Linked DNA regions of Xenopus tropicalis. The protein of the gene in region 1 purifies or fractionates together with the protein of each later gene. This does not show direct contact. Links are inferred from orthologs where the notes say so. Each region holds a gene or a part of one and is shown on either strand. Other genes may lie near its edges.

Region 1 (6,569 bases):
AAATAGGGTATTCTATAACATAAGTTTATTTAAATGTGAGATGCCCCTTTAAAGGAAGCAGCAAATGAAACGTTTCAAGTTGTATAATACCCTATCTTAATTTCTCAATGCTCTTCTGTGTGCGCTCCAGGTACAGCGAAGCTGAGATCCAAGAGAAAGTGGCCACATTCAGACTGATGCTGCAAGAGAAAGATCTGACGCAAAGCAAAGAAGAGGAGAAGCAGAAAGCCAAGTAAGTGGCCAAACTAAGCTTTGTGAGCTGCAAGCCTTTATTGGAGGGTATATCTCATTTATCAAGCCTGGAGTGAAGCCCGAAACGTTGCCTTTGGCACTTGAGTAAAGACTCACATTTTTCAAAACAACCGGAGTGCTGCTGTTTTCTTCATTTTTGTATTTATCTGCCCGTCAGTGGGTACAGCGTGCACCTGGGGCTGCAAGAAGCTATTTTCACTGTGTAAGCACATGTTAACTGATTCTATTTGTTTATTACTCCCCATTTTTACACACTTTCTCTGTGTTTAGTATTTCAGAGACGCATCAAATGGCCGAAGCAAACGAGAAGAAGAATGAGCGGCTACGTGAGGCTTTCGGGATCAGTGACAGCTATGTGGACGGGAGCAGTTTCGACCCCAATCGCAGAGCTGCCAATGCAGCAGCCAAACAGCAGGAGCAGCAGAAGCAGTATAGGTAAGAATTAGCTTTCATGGTATGTGGGGGAATGGCATTCCTCCAGTGCATTTTCCTGTACACTGAGGACTTAATGGGTTAATGAGATTCTTCCTCTTGTAGTCTGATTGAAGATTCTGGCAGTTCTCGCTCCCCTTCTCCCACCAAACACAAGAAAAAGAAGAAAAAGAAAGATCGTGGACGGTAAGTGTGTTGGGGGTTTGAGGGCAGACATGGTTATTTCTCTAGAGGCGGGGCAGTTCTTAGGCTCCTCCTGTGTGTACTTTGCTTTAATTTAGCTCTGCCCCCTTCCCCAATTATTGTTCATCTGTATTAAAGGAGCAGTTCACCTTTAAAGTGGACCTGTCACTCTCACCTGAAAATTCAGCTACTGGTTCAGATAGTGCAGAAAAGCAGCGCTCTCTTTTTTTTTTTTTTTCCTTTTCTGTGTCTTTCCGCAGATATTGCCTATTATCTTTATGCCCTGTCAATCAAAAGTATTCAGCTACGCCTCTATGCCTTAGGCATAGAGGCGTCTCCTTTTATTCTACGTCACCACTCCTTCAATTCTCCCCCTCCCTATAGAGACTATCAGTCTCGCATAGCTTTAATGAGAACGCGCACACGTTATTATGGTAGAGACGCGCCTAACTATTGTGAGCGAGCTCTATCCTGAGATTCTTGGGGGTGCACAGACTCGCAAAGGAGCGTGACAGTTTCTCAATTTGGATGTGAGGAACTATACGCGTCCCTTCATTTACAGCGCATGCGCGATATTAAAGAGCAGGACAGACGTGAAACATAAAGATGGCGGATCAATATGGCGGCTCGCACCCAGCAAAAATGCAGCAGCGGGTTGGGATACAACGGCTTTGCTTACAAAGGTAGCAGAGATCTAGAATAAGTTCTTAAACAATATAGTTTATATTTCTAAAGTTTATTTTGGAATTGTGAAAGGTGACAGGTCCACTTTAAGTTAACTTTGAATATGTTATAGAATGGGCAAATTTCAGCAAACTTATAATTGGTCTTAATTTTTCTTTTATAGTTTTTGAATTCTTTGCCATTTTCTTCGGACTCTTTCCAGATTTCAAATGCTACACAGCAGCGTATTTATATAAACTATAGTAGGGTTTCTGTAGCAAACGCCCCAGCTGTACCAGTGCAGGAACGGCTGCCCCCGGGGCTACACAGCGGGGTATTTATATAAACTATAGTAGGGTTTCTGTAGCAAACACCCCAGCTGTACCAGTGCAGGAATGGCTGCCCCCGGGGCTACACAGCAGGGTATTTATATAAACTATAGTAGGGTTTCTGTAGCAAACACCCCAGCTGTACCGGTGCAGGAATGGCTGCCCCCGGGGCTACACAGCGGGGTATTTATATAAACTATAGTAGGGTTTCTGTAGCAAACACCCCAGCTGTACCAGTGCAGGAATGGCTGCCCCCGGGGCTACACAGCGGGGTATTTATATAAACTATAGTAGGGTTTCTGTAGCAAACACCCCAGCTGTACCAGTGCAGGAATGGCTGCCCCCGGGGCTACACAGCGGGGTATTTATATAAACTATAGTAGGGTTTCTGTAGCAAACACCCCAGCTGTACTAGTGCAGGGCAAAAGTACAACATATTTTAATCACTTTAAAACACTTTATTTGGCATTACTGATCTTTTTATGAGGAAAAAAGATGGACTAGAAATCTGTAGAAGAAACTGAAGACAAACAGGAGTTTTCCTTTGTGATTTCTGCGCCTGAGGCCATCAGCGTATTTGTCAGTTGTTTGCAGTATTCTCTGAGGAGTTGACTGCTCTAATCCCTTCTGCCTTCCCACAGGTCCTCAAGTCGCTCTCCCAGCCACAAGGACAAGAAAGCCAAGTCCCGTAAGCACAGGTAATCCCCATGGGGTCTTCACTCTTCTATTTTTAAAAACACCACCCCCAAAATATTTACTTTTTTTTTTTTTTCTTTAGATCTGACTCCAACTCCAAGAAGCGGAAGCACAGGTGAGGGTTCCGAATTTGTTCTTGTGGGGTTGAGTCGTGCCTTTTATAACATTGTTCAGTTTATAACTGCATGGCAACATGTGTACACTCGCCTAAGTATTTATATCTGGCTCTAAATATCCTCTTTACTGTCTCTTGTGCGGCAGCCCAAAGAGCAAACGTAAAACCAAGGAGAAGAAAAAAAAGAGGTAATGGGCTTAGAACTAACTGACATTACCTTTCATACAATGCATCCCGTAACATAGCTACAGTTTTATTAGCCAGGTTTATTGCCCTGGTATAATCATTTACCTCTAACATCCTAACCGATTAAAGAACGTACAATGTGACACGACTTTTATCTAGTGAAGGAACTTGAGGCTTGACGTCGGTGTATGTGGTATATTGGATGCCATAGGGGCTCTGCTTTCCTACACTGACTGTAAACAGAGCTGCAGTATTGTGAACTCTGACATAGTAGGAGTTGCAGTTGGTGACAATCTAATGTCAGGTATGTCCCCCTTTTTCAAATGCTGGTTTTTTTTCTTATTATTCAGATCTCCTAGTGCCTCCCCAAAGCAGAGAGACGTTTCCTCCTCTTCACGAGATGAAACATCACGCAGCAGGTACTTTTTGAGCGCTACCATTCATGTAGTGAGTAATATAAAAGGCTGCCTCAGTTACACAGGGTTGAAAAAAGACCAGAGTCCATCAAGTTCAACCCTTCCAAGTAAACCCAGCACCCACAACTCACACCTACCAATCGATACCAACACATACATAACTAGTTGCTTTTGTAGTAGCATTGCTGAATATTTTTTCTTCTAGATCGAGAAGCAGCCCACCACCGAGAAGCAAATCCGATCGTGCCAAGCCGTCAAGCGCGGCAAAGGAGAGCCCAGAAAGGAAAAGATCCGTCTCTCCGAAAAGAAATCGGAGAAGCGACAGAGGCCGAAGCCCAGCGGAAAAAGGCTATAAAGATGTGAGTCGTGTTTACATTACTTCCGTGCTTACCTCTATCAACATGTGGGTTTTTGGTGTTGACTTTTAGTATGTTATAGAATGACAAGTTATAAGCAACTTTTTCAATTGGTCTTCATTATTTGTTTTAGCTTTTTGAATTATTTGCCTCCTTCTTCCAACTCTTTGCAGTTTTTGAATGGGGGTCACTGACTCCGGCAGCCAAAACTATTGCTCTGTGAGGCTACCGTTTTTTTTGTCTATTCAGTCCCTCTCTTAAGGTCCCCATACACTTTACGATTTGCTCGCTTGGCGAGATTGCCAAGTGAGCTGATCTTCACCCCATATATCCCCACCTGTAGGCTAATTCGATCTTTTGGCCCTGGGGCGAAACGATCGAATTATATTGGCGTCAATGGCGCAGTCGGTTCGGGGACCGCATCAACGAGCTGATGTGTTCCCCGATCCGACTGAATTTTCTAACCTGGCTCATCAATATCTGGCCAATTTCAGGCCAGATATAGGCTGGGCAGGCCCCTTACTTCTGCCCCTACACGGGCCAATAAGCTGCTGAATCTGCCCGTGTATGGGGACCTTTATTCATATACAAGTCTCTTATTCAAATCACTCCCTGGTTGCTAAGGTAACTTGGACCCTACCAACCAAATAGCTGCTGAAACTCTAAACTGGAGAGCTCCTGAACTGAAAATGAAATAACGAAAAAAAACTAGAAATATTAAAAAAAATGAAGATCAATTGTAAATTGCCTCAGAATATTACTCTTTACATGATACTAAAAGTTTACTCAAAGGGTGAACCAACCACTTTAATGCTTTCCTGCATTACTATGACAGGATGAATGAAAAATAGCTTGTTGGTCATTAAATGTCAAGCAGTTCTACACAAAACTATTTGTAGTTTAAATTTTTACCCATCAACGCCAAAAATGCTGTCTGGGTGCCAAGAGACCTTTGGCTGTGAGCTTGAGATAAGCTGTACGGTTGAGGTGTGCCCTTGCCTTTGTACGGCTGCTGTGTCAGTTGAAGGCAGAGTAACCTTTTCTGGTCAGTTCCCTACAAATGTAAGAGTTTCACAAAGAATCACATTGCAAATCTGTTGGTCATTTATAGCGGTGTTGTTTTGGGCGCTTGTGTTGCTTGCCCATTAAGGGTGTTCAGAAGAATTTAGCCTCAGTATTGGAGAGGGGTGGTGGCCTTCTGCATTTGCTCTGTGTCCCATTTGCAAACTGCCACCCACAATTGACTTGCTGTCAGGCAGTGAATGGAAAATATCAAGATGAAGCCAGAAGTAATATATTAAGTTATTTGGCTTTTCCAAATCTTTTGAACCATGCCTCTGTAGTCTTGGCTATATCTTATCCACAGCATGGTGACAAATCTGTGGATCTCTTTTTCATGAGCTTTATGGGGAAAATACCCAAAAAAGTGGGCATGCATCCAACTAAATCCATGAAATACCCCAATAAATATTTTCTTGGGTGGCTGGAAAACTAAATGTGTGATTGGAAGTTCTTCTGAATCGGATTATTGTTATTTACTTGATGTTTTGGGTATTTTGGACACCTTTTTGATACTGTAATATCCTCTTTGATACTTGGTTAGATTGTCAGGACAACGAGGCACTTAATTTAGCTTCTTACCATGGTCTTTGAAGAATGTATGTAGGAATGAAAACAAATACAGCCAGGTTATTATCTTGACACTGGTGCTTTCAGGCCATTTGAGCCTTCCAAGAAGGCTTCACAAGCAATAAATGTGGCATTTTGGGCTGGTACAGGTGGGATAGGCATATTACTTGTGGCTGTTATTTTCGGTACAGTCTTGAAATTGCATGCATTTTGTTGTCTAGTCTACGGTCCTACAGCACAGTGTGACCTGTTGTTGGTCTGTAATCGAAGTGTAGTTGGGTCAGCAATTTGAGCTGGATGTGGAAACTCGCATTTTTTTTATAAGATGACGTCCGTTTAATAGAGGGCTATTAAATGGACGTCATCTTATAAAAAAAATGAATGACATTGTAATTTAGAGCAATTTTCCAATACACTGATTTTAAAAATGTTTAGTGGCTTATAAGATGTAAAGGTGGCCATTTCTTGAGCTATAAGCACTATTCTAGCCAATGCATTCCTTGCTGTGACTTGATACTTCTGCTGGTCCATCCCTTGCAGCTCTGTTACCTGCCCATCTCCCATAGACTCCATTTTAATCAAATAATTCAGAATTTTAAAACTGATTTCCTTTTTCTCTGTAATAATAAAACAGTACCTGTACTTGATCCCAACTAAGATATAATTACCCCTTATTGGGGGCAGAACAGCCCTATTGGGTTTATTTCATGGTTAAATGATTCCCTTTTCTCTGTAATAATAAAACAGTACCTGTACTTGATCCCAACTAAGATATAATTACCCCTTATTGGGGGCAGAACAGCCCTATTGGGTTTATTTCATGGTTAAATGATTCCCTTTTCTCTGTAATAATAAAACAGTACCTGTACTTGATCCCAACTAAGACATAAATAATCCTTATTGGGGCAAAACAATCCTATTGGGTTTAATGTTTTTTGATTTTTTTTTTTAGTAGACTTTAGGTATGGAGATCCAAATTACAGAAAGACCCCTTATCCGGAATACTCTTGGTACCGAGCATTCTGGATAATGGGTCCTATACCTGTATTGTAATTTTGGCATCTTTTTTTAGTCCGTTGTATTGGATAAGTGGGTGCTTTGCAGTTTAGGTCAGTTATATGGGAGTCTGGATAGTCACGTATTGCACTCCTAATTTTGATCCTGTTAAAACCGGCCTCCCTGTTCTAACTGGGGTTCCTATTGTATAATCTCACATGATTGGTCCCAAAGCGTCTTATCGATGTTCTTGAAAGACCTTTTTTTAGTTCTTGGTTTTAATTACATCGCATTAGAACTTTATGAAGTAAGTTAT
Region 2 (6,569 bases), on another chromosome or scaffold:
CTGAAATATGTCTTGGGCTGTGACCCTGCAGATATCCAAGGTTTTTGCAACATTGGAAGACCTGACCTAGCAATTACAAGACCAACTTGATAAGATTTCAAATTATTTAGTAAAATAGTCTGTATTTACTCTATGTTAATCTAAAGTTCCATGTTAATCTACCGTTTGATCCTACAGTGTAAAACTTATATTTGATACAAGTCAATCTATAAGTTTAACTGTATTGTCAACTAAAGGGCCCTAACCAAATGTTGGATCAAAGTAGTTGTTTGAGACAAAGAAGTTTAAAAACCATTTGTGTATATGTGTTAAAATTAAACAGAGTTGGGTGAAGTGAATTACTTGTAGAAGTTTTGATTGTCTATTTATATGAACATGACCCACCCCCCTGGGCCTCTTGTTAATAGCCCAGTTTCAAGTCAAACTTGATGTTGCACACTTCTTGTCTTTTCGTGGCCGTTGGCTGATGGCTTCTGGCTATATTCAGTAGCAGCGCTCACCCAAAAATTATCAAGATTTGGTGTGTATCAGACAATGTTCATGTACCTCTCCTATTCATACCCCAGTCTCTCCTTTAAACTGGTTGCTAAGGTAAAACAAGATCCTAGCAACCAGATAGCTGCTGAACAAGAAGTTAAATAACCGATGTTTTGAGAAAATCTGCAGTTGGTTTTCATTCATGGTTTTTCAATGTCCGTGTCATAATAAAAGTTAAAGGTAAACAACCCCTTTAATAAAAGTGCTGATTTCTGATGGCTTTTGGCTACAGGTACCACTAGTTATCAGGTGCAGTCATTCACCAGTAATGTAAGTTTTTGCGAATTTATGCTCCACTAATTTAAAACATTTCATAAGTGTTACAGTGTAGTATTTGTGTAAGGAAATCAGGCCAAAGTTCAATTAAAAAGAAATAGCGCTCATTTTATTTAAGCAGTAATGCAGTTTAAATAAATGCATATGATTCCTGTGGAATTTTGTAATAGGGGTAATTTTACTTTTCTAGGCTGGGTGGGGAGCGTCGCCAAAGAAGAGAGTCACGCCAGGAAAGCGACGCAGAGGATGAAGATGATAAAAAAGTATGATGTTCTTTTAAAGGAGACATACAGTGGCTTGCAAAAGTATTCGGCACCCTTGAACTTTTCCACATTTTGTCACATTACAGCCACAAACATGAATCAATTTAATTGGAATTCCACGTGAAAGACCAATACAAAGTGGTGTACACGTGAGAAGTGGAACAAAAATCATACATGATTGCAAACATTTTTTACAAATAAATAACTGCAAAGTGGGGTGTGCGTAATTATTCAGCCCCCTTTGGTCTGAGTGCAGTCAGTTGCCCATAGACATTGCCTGATGAGTGCTAATGACTAAATAGAGTGCACCTGTGTGTAATCTAATGTCAGTACAAATACAGCTGCTCTGTGACGGCCTCAGAGGTTGTCTAAGAGAATATTGGGAACAACAACACCATGAAGTCCATCAGAGTTGATGGGAAGATGGATGGAGCCAAATACAGGGCAATCTTGGAAAAAAAACCTCTTGGAGTCTGCAAAAGACTTGAGACTGGGGCGGAGGTTCACCTTCCAGCAGGACAACGACCCTAAACATAAAGCCAGGGCAACAATGGAATGGTTTAAAACAAAACATATCCATGTGTTAGAATGGCCCAGTCAAAGTCCAGATCTAAATCCAATCGAGAATCTGTGGCAAGATCTGAAAACTGCTGTTCACAAACGCTGTCCATCTAATCTGACTGAGCTGGAGATGTTTTCAAAGAAGAATGGGCAAGGATTTCAGTCTCTAGATGTGCAAAGCTGGTAGAGACATACCCTAAAAGACTGGCAGCTGTAATTGCAGCAAAAGGTGCTTCTACAAAGTATTGACTCAGGGGGCTGAATAATTACGCACACCCCACTTTGCAGTTATTTATTTGTAAAAAAATGTTTGGAATCATGTATGATTTTCGTTCCACTTCTCACGTGTACACCACTTTGTATTGGTCTTTCACGTGGAATTCCAATAAAATTGATTCATGTTTGTGGCTGTAATGTGACAAAATGTGGAAAAGTTCAAGGGGGCCGAATACTTTTGCAAGCCACTGTATGTGATACGTGAAAAAACCCTAATTCTGTGGGCAATAATGAATAATTTATGGTGTTGCTTTCACTTTGGGCTAAAAATTATCATTATTATTTATTGGAGCTCTCTATAGATCTGCTCACAGAGATACAGTACCTCACAGACGGTTAATGATCAAATTGAGGAATATTGGCCTAGAACATAATATTTGTAATTGGATAGAGAACTGGCTGAAGGATAGATCACAAAGAGTGGTGATAAATTGAACATTTTCTAATTGGACCAGTGTGGTTAGTGGAGTACCGCAGGGGTCTGTCCTTGGTCCTTTGCTTTTTAACTTGTTTATTAATGACCTGGAGGTGGGCATAGACAGTACTGTTTCTATTTTTGCTGATGACACAAAATTGTGCAAAACTATAAGTTCCATGCAGGATGCTGCCACTTTGCAGAGCGATTTGAAAAAATTGGAAAACTGGGCAGCAAACTGGAAAATGAGGTTCAATGTTGACAAGTGCAAAGTTATGCACTTTGGTAGAAATAATATAAACATGAACTATCTACTGAATGGTAGTTTGTTGGGGGTATCCTTTATGGAGAAGGATCTGGGGGTTTTTGTAGATAACAATTCCAGGCAGTGTCTAATTCCAGGCAGTGTCATTCTGTGACTACTAAAGCAAATAAAGTGCTGTCTTGTATAAAAAAGGGGCATTGACTCAAGGGATGAGAACATAATTTTGCCCCTTTATAGGTCCTTGGTAAGGCCTCACCTTGAGTATGCAGTGCAGTTTTGGGCTACAGTCCTTGAGAAGGATATTTAATGAGCTGGAGAGAGTGCAGAGACTTGCAACTAAACTGGTTAAGGGGATGGAAGATTTAAACTATGAGGTTAGACTGTCGAGGTTGGGGTTGTTTTCTCTGGAAAAGAGGTGCTTGAGAGGGGACATGATTACTCTGTACAATTACATTAGAGGGGATTATAGGCAGATAGGGGGTGGTCTTTTTTCCCATAAAAACAATCAACGTACCAGAGGTCACCCCTTTAGATTAGAGGAACCGAGTTTCCATTTGAAGCAGCGTAGGTGGTTTTTCACGGTGAGGGCAGTGAGGTTGGGGAATGCCCTTCCTATAGATGTGGTAATGGCAGATTCTGTTAATGCCTTTTAAGAGGGCCCTGGATGAGTTCTTGAACAATCAGAATATCCAAGGCTATTGTGATATTAATATCTACAGTTAGTGGTTGTGTATATATAGTTTATGTATGTGAGTGTATAGCTTGGTAGGTGTGGGTTGTGTGTGCTGGGTTTACTTGGATGGGTTGAACTTGATGGACTCTGGTCTTTTTTCAACCCTATGTAACTATGTGTCTGTTTAAAATCAGGGGTGGGTTTGTCCTAATGGTCCCTGACAGACACACAGTGGGTGGGGCATAGCCAATTGCAACCCTGCAGTGACACAAGCAAAGACAGGCTTCAGTTTCTAGGTCAGCCTAGCTTCTGATTGGTTCCTATCCTACAATGAAGTGCTCTGAGGGCTGCCAGCTCCCCTGCACAGTTTGGGAAAGGGGGCAGCGGGAAGAAGAACAGATGGGTGGGATTGGTAGGGGTTTTTTGTGAAATTTTCAGTACATCTGCCTGAAACACTACTCTCAAGTATATTTAGAGAAGTATAATGCGCTGGCACATTCTTGTTTTTTATACAATATATCTCCTTTAATCCAAGAGTGGGGTTGCTTTAATGTTGTCCTACGTGTCAAAGGTACTTACTCCTATTTTGTTTCTAAATTGTAGCCAGCGTTGCAGTCCTCAGTTGTTGCTACCTCCAAAGAACGTACACGCCGAGATCTTATACAAGATCAGAACATGGATGAGAAAGGCAAACAAAGGTAGAAAAAATTTACTTTTGCACCCCCCCCCCCTTTTTTTCTTTTTTGTCAAAACAGTTGACTTAAAATCGAAGTTGGAGGTTTAAGTCTTGCATATAATTTTATTTTCTTCTTAATTACAGGAATCGGCGAATATTTGGCCTGTTGATGGGTACTCTTCAGAAGTTTAAGCAAGAGTCAAATGTGGCAACAGAGCAGGTAATGTATGCTTGGTAATTTGTAATTTTTTGTCTGTGCCAATATAACATGTCATGCAAATATTTGTTTTGCACGTCTTCAGCCAAAGTGACTAATTTACTTACAATTTCTCCTATCCAAACTGCAGCAAAAAAGGCGCCACGAAATAGAACAAAAGCTTGAAGTGCAGGCTGAAGAAGAAAAGAAACAAGTGGAGACTGAGAGACGTGAGCTCTTTGAGGAAAGGCGGACTAAACAGACAGAGCTACGCCTTCTGGAACAGAAGGTTGAGCTTGCCCACTTGGTAAGTTACACACTAACTACATTTTAAAAAATTGGTTTATATGTTGTTCTAATAGTTAGTGGCTGCTTTGAAAAGGGACCATTTCTACTTCTGATTCATTTTAAACTATGTACAAATGTTCATAATAAGCATGCAGCAAATCAGAATAGCAAACTGAATATGAGATCTAATTGTGGACTCCGGGTTAAGCATAGTCAAAAATTGCTTTAATTACCCAGACTTATTGAGATGAATAAAACTGATATGGGTAATCCTGAAATTTTCATTTGTAATTTCAAATTATGTCCAGCTTTCTGGTGCTTAAAGCAAAATCTGAATTATGTATTTGTTTGGAAGTACTCAGTGCACCTGTCCTGATTTAGATGCGCCATGGTGAATTTTGTGTGGGTGAATGCAAAGCGTTCTACTACATTACTGTAATCTATGCACACTTAGATGCAAAAAAAAAAAAAAGAACTTTTATTAGAATACACACAAGTACAAAACACCTTCAAGAAGCTGCAAGATTTGTCTAATAGAAAAATCTCCACTTGTAATATAGGGGTTACAATCAATCTGTAATCTTTGTAAACCATATAGGGCAGATATGAGAGATACTGAATAATCCTAGGCTGTACCCTGGTTCTCTTGGCCTACAGACTGCAGCTGTCAGACAAAATAGCATTCTAATCAAAAGTATTATCATATCTGTATCATGTGATGCGAGTATGATGATGGCACTGTAAAGTGCACACTAGGGGTTTTGTCTATTTATAGGGTTTGTACCAGCAGGACAAATTGCTGCATCTTAATAGTAATGATGAAATCCAATTCTTTATCGGATCTGCAAAGTTTATTTATTTTTGCATTCAATTTCGCCTATCCAAGGGTCTTTTTGGTCTTCCACATGGCTATTTTCTTTTGAGCAGTTGTCTGTGTGATAGACATGGATGCAAGCAGACAGCTTCTCACAAGTAAAGGTTATATCATTCCCCTGTAAAAGTGACAGGCAAGATCAAACTGGCCTAAAAAAAAATGTTTCCGTTCGATTCTCACAGAGCAACTGATGGCCACGGACTGACTAACTTTTGTAGTGTGACGACACACAGAGCTACTAGTACTGTGTTTCCCCGAAAATAAGAACTACCCAAAAAATAAGCCCTAGCAGGATTTCTATGCATTTGTTAAATATAAGCCCTACACCGATAATAAGACCTAGTGATGGGCGTGGCTCCGCGCTATGCATTTCGGCATGAAGCGATAAGGAAGACTGGAATACCTTTTATCTGCCCTAGCTCCTTTCTCCTAGCTGTTCGCACGTGTGGTAACCGCAGACGCAGGCAATCCTATTACACATGCGCAAACGGCTAGGGGAAAGGAGTTCATGCATCACTAGCGCCAGCCCCACCAACAAGGTCTGCTCTCCCTGTCATGTCCAGGCCATACTGTCTCCTTGTGTGTCCCCAGGGGGAAGAAGGAAAGCTGAGGCTGCTATTTTACCCAGCAACAGTCTGTGGGCCTCTCTCACCCCCCCCCCCCCCCCCACTGGCAAATGTGGGTAAATAGCATGGGCAAGAGTAAAAAAAAAAAAAAGAATTTTAAATGAAAGTGTACTGAACAACAGTTTTTATTTGAGGAAACTGAATTGAATTTTTCAGTTTCTAATGTTTAAGACAAACTATTTTTTTAAGGGGGGCAGGATACTCCTTACCTCTTGTATTGGTTATTGGTTCTTATGTATTTATTCTTTTATGTTGAAATAATGTATACATACATTTATCATACAATGTTGTGGAACATTGTCACTTTGTAACATAGTAAGTTAGGTCGAAAAAAAGACATATGTCCATCAAGTTCAAACATAATGCCTATATAAACTGCCTAACTGCTACTTGATCCAGAGGAAGGCAAAAAACCCCATCTGAAGCCTTTTACTTGCCACAGAGGGGAAAAAATTCCTTCCGGACTCCAAGATGGCAATCGGACCAGTCCCTGGATCAACTTGTACTAAAAGCTATAGCCCATAACCCTGTATTCCCTCACTTGCTAATAAGCCATCCAGCCCCTTCTTAAAGCTATATAATGTATCAGCCAGTATGACTGGTTCAGGGAGGGAATTCCACAACTTCACAGCTTAAACGGAAC

What was found.
Region 2: the proteins of srrm2 (region 1) and pnn purify together in Homo sapiens (affinity purification with mass spectrometry; 3 studies listed by BioGRID and IntAct, with this or other methods). This does not show direct contact. The link is inferred for Xenopus tropicalis from reciprocal best matches to the Homo sapiens genes SRRM2 and PNN.

Annotation. Positions count from the first base shown.
Region 1 is NC_030685.2:12,495,242-12,501,810, forward strand, and holds part of srrm2 (serine/arginine repetitive matrix protein 2), read left to right. Parts: intron 1-130; coding exon 131-232; intron 233-522; coding exon 523-687; intron 688-789; coding exon 790-870; intron 871-2,500; coding exon 2,501-2,557; intron 2,558-2,637; coding exon 2,638-2,670; intron 2,671-2,816; coding exon 2,817-2,858; intron 2,859-3,206; coding exon 3,207-3,275; intron 3,276-3,477; coding exon 3,478-3,631; intron 3,632-6,569. UniProt on the Homo sapiens protein: Required for pre-mRNA splicing as component of the spliceosome. As a component of the minor spliceosome, involved in the splicing of U12-type introns in pre-mRNAs.
Region 2 is NC_030684.2:104,726,751-104,733,319, reverse strand, and holds part of pnn (pinin), read left to right. Parts: intron 1-1,003; coding exon 1,004-1,076; intron 1,077-3,869; coding exon 3,870-3,964; intron 3,965-4,086; coding exon 4,087-4,162; intron 4,163-4,289; coding exon 4,290-4,445; intron 4,446-6,569. UniProt on the Homo sapiens protein: Transcriptional activator binding to the E-box 1 core sequence of the E-cadherin promoter gene; the core-binding sequence is 5'CAGGTG-3'. Capable of reversing CTBP1-mediated transcription repression.